Linked DNA regions of Cricetulus griseus. Each later gene encodes a partner of the first gene's protein in a complex. Links are inferred from orthologs where the notes say so. Each region holds a gene or a part of one and is shown on either strand. Other genes may lie near its edges.

The links. The genes of interacting proteins can lie anywhere in the genome.
Region 2: Tonsl (region 1) and Mms22l share a complex: the UniProt entries of both Homo sapiens proteins name them as parts of the MMS22L-TONSL complex. The link is inferred for Cricetulus griseus from reciprocal best matches to the Homo sapiens genes TONSL and MMS22L.

What each region holds. Positions count from the first base shown.
Region 1 is NC_048595.1:373,903,506-373,906,693, forward strand, and holds the end of Tonsl (tonsoku-like protein), read right to left. Parts: intron 901-3,188; coding exon 719-900; 3' UTR 650-718; downstream 1-649. UniProt on the Homo sapiens protein: Component of the MMS22L-TONSL complex, a complex that promotes homologous recombination-mediated repair of double-strand breaks (DSBs) at stalled or collapsed replication forks.
Region 2 is NC_048595.1:117,163,711-117,167,528, forward strand, and holds part of Mms22l (protein MMS22-like), read right to left. Parts: intron 3,031-3,818; coding exon 2,981-3,030; intron 814-2,980; coding exon 726-813; intron 630-725; coding exon 449-629; intron 1-448. UniProt on the Homo sapiens protein: Component of the MMS22L-TONSL complex, a complex that promotes homologous recombination-mediated repair of double-strand breaks (DSBs) at stalled or collapsed replication forks.

The DNA.
Region 1 (3,188 bases):
TTGCAGTCTAGAAATGGTGGAAGCAGGGTCCACCAGGAAAGGTGCTCTCTAATAAGAAAGTTGATGTCAGTGGCTCAGCCAGCTAAAACTCGCCTCGAGATTTGAAATGGGCTGAAAAGAAAAGTTCAATGAAGGTAGGCAAACCGAGATGGAGTGGCTTGATGAAGAGCCTGAGCTACTGAGGTCCCAGGGGCTAGGAACAGCCAGCGGAGTCCCCAGAGGAAGATGGGCACCCTCACAGCCAGGGAGACCTGAGCTAGGAGCCCGTGGTGTCACCTGACAGCGCCCACCGCCTACTGAGACACGGACCGCGCGGCAAGGGCCGCTGAGCCCCAAAGGAAATGGGATCGGGACACTGAGCCCAAAGGGTTCCTTTGCTGTGGGACCCGGTGGCCGTAGCCGCTGCGTACCTGGGGCGTTTGGAGGCCCGGAGATGGCGACAGCAGCTCAGTGTACGCTTTTTCCGCCTGTGCCTGCCGGGAAGCCCGATCGGCAGCTCGGCGCTCACTCTCCCCACCTAAGCCTACGCACAGAGCAGGCCCAATCAGAGGGTCGGCGCTCGTCCTCTCGGCCTGGGCCTGCGCTCTGGGGCAGCAGCGCCTGTCAAGTCTCACGTCGTCCACCCCTTTCCCAGACAGCCACACGAAGGGGACAGCAGCTTAGTTTATTAAGTTTTTTGTGGGGGGGGTGGAGGGGGGTAGAGACGACAGGACCAGGGTCAGAGGCATTTAAAGAAGAGCTTGGGACCTTGGTCCAGTGAGCACGCGCTGGCCGGCAGTCTCCGACACACTGCATCTCGGTCCCTTGTGCTCAGGCGTTTGCTGCACAACTGCAGCTCCTGCAGCTGCATGAAGATCTTGTCCCAGATGTCGGAGTTCAGGGGCCCCTGGATGGAGCAGCCTTGGGGGCGGGAGGGGGGGGAGTAGGTTTAACTTCCAGGCAGGTTTTTCCATCTCACACGCTCGAGCCGTGTTGCTCATGCCATACCTCGGAGCCTACATTTTGGTTTGCCCTGATGTAAAATGTGTACTCAACAGGGCTTTGCATATTTGTATGTTGTGGGCCCAAGGATCCCTGGAGGCTACTGAATACCAGGATTGATCGTTAGGCCAGAGATCTCAGAAGGCTCAGGATACCAGGAAGCTGTATAAAAGGGCACAGGTGCCAGAAATACCAGCGTGTGGAGCAAATCAAATTAAGAACACAGGGATCCCCTCTGCTCAGCTTTTATCAAATTTCAGCTGAGCAAGGCAATGCCTGGCCAGTCTACCAGGTACACCTCAAAGGTGGAGAATGCCTTGGTGTAGCAAAACAAGCTACCTTATCAGTAAGTAGGGCATGAGTAATCCTTTCTACCAGGGATGAGGAAAGAGAGGGCCCTTTAGTGGAGCTTGCACCACCCTAGATTCCATCCATCTTCCGGCCAAAAAGAATGAGGAAAGAACTCTTCCTGTAAGTGACAATGGTTTGATACTCTCCTGACCCAGAAAATCCTGCATCAAAATGCAAATCAAGAGGTTCAAATCTTCCGTTTTTTTTTTTTTTTCAGACAGGATTTCTGTGTAGTCCTGGCTGTCCTGGAACTTGCTTTGTAGATCAGGCTGGCTTTGAACTCAGAGATCCACCTGCCTCTGCCTCCCTAGTGCTAGGATTAAAGACCACCATCTCCACCCACAGCATTGATTTTTTTTTTTTGTTTAATGAATTTAAGGCTTTAGCTGTAGATTCTCTAGTTACAAAGCAGCTAAGATGCACTGTTAAAAGTAGAGATCATTGTGGATTAATCCAGGCATGAGCTACCCCTGCCTCAATGAGATGATCCTCTCTGCAAAGGAACAAACTGTTCCCAGCCAGGTGGCTTCACAGAAGAAAAGATAACCCAGGAAAAGACTAAAAAACAAAAATGTGCAGGGTGGCGCGGCACAGGCTTTTAACCCCAGCACTCGGGAGGCAGAGGCAGTCAGATCTCTGTAAGTTTGACGCCAGCCTGGTCTACAAAGTGAGCTCAGGAAAGCTACGGCTGCACAGAGAAACCCTGTCTCCAAAAACCAAAGAAAAAGTATGACACAAGAATAAATTCAGGGGAGGATGGATATATAAATATGATTAGTAATTAAAGAATAAAAAAAGAATAAATTAAGCATTAAATAAAAGCGAGTGAGGACCAGAGAGATAGCTGAATGGTTAAGAGTACTTGCTGCTTTTACAAAAGATCTCAGTTGGGTTCCCTGACCCGACTTGCATTGGTGGCTTACATTCATCAGTAATTCCAGTTCTAGGGGTACCAGACACGCACATGGTGCACATACATACAGGTAAAACACTCATACAAATAAAAATAGGCAAATCTTTTTTGTTGTTGATTTGTTTTGAGAAAGGTCTCCATGTAGCCCCAGCTGTTCTGAGACAACTAGTCTAAATTCTGGGATTAATGGCATGCACCATTGTATCTTGCACAAGTAAGTAAATCTTTATAAAAAAAAAAAAAAAGTTTTCTGGGCGTTGGTGGCACATGCCTTTAATCCCAGAACTCGGGAGGCAGAGGCAGGCGGATCTCTGTGAGTTTGAGGCCAGCCTGGTCTCCAGAGCAAGTGCCAGGATAGCCTCCAAAGCTACACAGAGAAACCCTGTCTCAAAAAGCCAAAAAAAAAAAAAAAAAAAAAAAAAAAAATTCATTTAAATTTATTTTATATGAATGGTGTGAAGGTGTCAGAGCCGTGGGAACTGGAGTTATAGATAGTTATGAGCTGCCATGTGGGTGATGGGAATTGAACCCAGGTCCTCTGAAAGAACAGCCAGTGCTCTTAACCACTGAGACATCTCTCCAGCCCTGGTCCTTAATGCTTTTTGTTGTTGTTGACTACTTTTTTTCCAAGACAGGGTTTCGCTGTGTAACAGCTCTGGGTGTCTTGGAACTTGCTTTGTAGACCAGGCTGGCCTCGAACTCACAGAGATATGTCTGCCTCTGCCTCCTCAGTGCTGGAATTAAAGTGGTGTACAATCACCACCCAGCTTTTTCCCTTCATGCTTTTTTTTTCATTCAAAATTTTGTTTTTAGGGGGGCTGGAGAGATGGCTCAGAGGTTAAGAGGGCCAACTGCTCTTCCAGAGGTACTGAGTTCAATTCCCAGCAACCACATGGTGGCTCACAACCATCCGTTATGAGATCTAGTGCCCTCTTCTGGTGTG
Region 2 (3,818 bases), about 260 Mb from region 1:
ATCATACTGAGGCCAGCCTCAGATTTTTAAGACACTGTCTTAAAAAAAAATACCTTTTCTTAAATTTCACTGTAACATATAAATGAAATGGCATTTGCCCGAACCTTTATTGATGAGAATGACAGAAATTTCAAAGATGTTAATTTTTATTTGAAATTTCTAAGCATTTACACTTTCAAATAGAGAACAGCTATTGATTCAGAGTAGTATTGTAAGCACTTTAGGCAAACTAATCATTTAATACTTCCCATAACTCCTAGAAGCTTAGTAAGCTGTGGAAATGGAGAAACTAAGGAGAGGCACATTTATATAGTAAAAACACACAATTAACCTGACAGGAGATCATAGTTTCATTTCATGCCATGCTTGTACCAATTCTTCTTATACTTGAACACTTTTTCTTGAGGGAGAAAAATGTTGGATAATTTAAAAAACAAACTAATCAAACCTTAATCTGGTTTTGATTTACAAATGCTCCTAGAGTTACACTGGGAAGTTCAGCTAGATGTCCAATATACAGAAGCAATCCACGAAGTTCATCAACCAACATCGAAGGAAGCTGAGCTTCCAAAGCCTCATAGGGATGGACATGAAGATTGTGGCTCTCGGTGTCTTGTACTTTCAGGCACCTAAAAAGGCATTAGATACAATAAGTATACAAGAATCTATGTGAATATACCCACAGATATCCATGCAGTAAGAAAAATACCCATTCGTTTTCCTACCTGAAGATGAAAACTTTAATGTAGTGGAGAAATGTTACACATCGCTGCCTAATACTGTCTGCTTTGGAGTGTAAGGTGGCTATCTTCCCTGAAAAGGAAATAGACACTATCAAAGATAGCTTAAACAACTGTCAGTGAACAGTGGCCAAAATTTTTTTACAGGCTTATCTTAAATCTAACCTATTAAGTATTTACAACAAATACACCTTGAAATAACCCACTTTCTCTAGTCTCTCATTAGAACACACCATAGGACTTTACATATTTCTTGTTGCTCTCAAGTCAATGCACATAAAGGCCTATATATATATATATATATTATATATATATATATTATATATAAAATGAAATAAAACTCCTTACAATGATTTATAAGGCCCAAATAGCCTTTGAATAATTCACCTAAACTCATCTTCTGCCACCTGTTTCACTCAATTTCTTTAATAACTACATCACTAAGAATTATATACATTGCTGCTATATGCAAAACACTGACAATTATGAGAGACAAAAGCTAAACAAAGACAGAGAAAACAGGGTAAGAATTATGGACAAAAATTTCTCATACATATTTAACATAAAACTTGTTTGAATTCAAATGAGCATTTGAATAAAATTGCTACTACTTTGTAAAAATTGCAGTTGGAAATAATAGTAAGATTATGCTAACAGCTAAATATTAAAACTGCTCTTTGATATGTCACCAATAAGTAAAATCTTTTTGATCTTTACTATAGTATTAGTTTGGTTTGTCCCTCCAAAGCTTTCACTGAAATTTAGTTTCCACTGTAGTGGGGTTAGGAGTAAAGGGGCCTGAAGAGCTGACCAGTCGACTATCAAGAAGGATGAATGACATCTCACCATCACAGATTCCATTACTCACTAAGACGGTGTGATTATTTACTAGGACAGTGTGGTCTGCTGCAACCATAGTTCACTACTCAAGCTTTCTCTCTTTTCCAGGTGCCTATGAGGCCCATCTTGTGCCTTTATAATAAGGAGCTACCAGATATAACTTTTTCTGTCTCTAGAACCATACTTAAATAAGACTTTTGTCTCAGGTACTCTGTCACAGGACCACAAAACACAGTTTTGACAAATCTCAGCTCATGAAAATAGTATTTTCTAAAAATTGCTAAAACCTCTGCATCTGGGCAAGATGGAATAAAGAGTTCAGATGTTCTATATCTCCCATCTTAAACTTAAAAAACAAGAAACAACATAAAGTAAGTTTTCAAGTACTACAATCATGACAATTAAATTCTATCCTAGAAATGGAACTTTATGATCATAACAGCTTCCTACACAGAGGTAGTTTCTAAGCCACTATCCCAGGGAGAACCTAGACAGAACCTACTTAAGGAGACAGCCAATCTCAGTTTTAAAAAATTAAACATATTGGACAAAAGCACACTAGAACAAAGAAACCAGGTAAGATAGAGTGGTGATTTACAGGTCTCCTTAGCTGCTGATCTACCCAGTGATAAGAGGAAACATCACCTTAGACTAAAAAAGTACATTGGAAACAACTCTACAAAGTGCACACCAGTTAGAACAGTTCAAGTTTCTAATAAGCAGGAATGAAAACCATAAATCACCACACATCAGAAAGGTTTGCCAGGCTTCTTATGTTCTATATCTCCTATCTTAAACTTAAAAAACCAGAAACAACATAAAGCAATCAGCAATCAGCTAAATGCCATAAGGAAAGAGAAGTAGAAAGCAGGAGAGATGACCAAGAGTCCTGGGAGATCTGTTACTTTTTATCTTGTATTTATATTTCCCACCCCGTTCCACAATTCCAAAGAAATAATCCTCTTAGAAAAGTTTAAGTTTTTTTCAAGTCAGATTTACCTTAAATCCTACAAAATTCACAAAAATACTATAACTCTCACCATTAACAAAATTTAAATGTCATACTCTTTCAAAATACCAGATACACTGTGGTTCTCAACCTTCCTAATGCTGTGACCCTTTAATACAGTTCCTCATATTGTAATAACCTCCAACCATAAAATTATTTCCGTTACTACTTTCCTAACTGTAATTTTGTTACTGTTATGAATTGTAATGTAAATATCTGATCCTGTAAATATCCAGGATCTCTTATATGTGACCCCTGAAGGGGTCAACCCAAACGTTGAGAGTCACTGACCCTCTAAAAAGGCACTTACTTCACATTTTCATGAAACCCCAATTATACATCAGTGTAATAGAGTGGCATTCTTCTGTGATTAAGCACACATTAAACTTACCAAAATCACAGTTGACTTGAACTAAGGATTCCAAGTTGAATAGCTGTTGCCTGATTTAAAAAAATGTGAGAGTAAATTTTAGCACAATGTAAAGTGTATACCAATTACATGGGTTAGGTTTCTAACACTACAGGATAGCTCCATTATTTTATAATTCACTTTGTAAATGTTTATTAAAAGCTTCCATGACAAGTTTCTTCTTTTGTTTGTTTTTGTTTGGTTTGGTTTTTCCGTTTAAATTTGGTTTTGTTTGGGGGGGTTGCAAGGGCAGAGGGAAGATCTGATGGAACAGGGAGATAAGCGGGATGGGAATGCACGATACGAAAACCACAAAGAAGCAAAAAAAAGTCAGCTTCAGACACCGCAAATTTTTTAAGATAAAGTACATCTCTCTAAACTTACAAAAGTATCTTTAGACAAATGATCTCAGAAACTATTTCAAAATCACAGCCTTTGGTAACAATGAGATATTTCTATCTTCAGGAAATTTAAGATACAACAAACATTTTTAAGGTTAAGTTTTATGTTAAACTGTATCATACTGCTATATAGTAGTTCAGAAAATAAAAAGAATTACTGCCCTGATTAGTTCCTAGTCAAGTTGATACAAGTTAGTCATCTAGGAAGAACTTCATTTGAGAAAATGCCTCAACCAGATTGCCTGTAGGGAAAGGCATTTTCTTTTTTTTTCTCCAGACAGGGTTCCTCTGTGGCTTTGGAGGCTGTCCTGGAACTAGCTCTTGTAGACCAGTCTAGCCTCGAATTCAGAGATCTGCCTGCCTCTGCTCCCCGAGTGCTGGGATTAAAGGCATGCGCCACCAATGCCCGGCTTACGGCA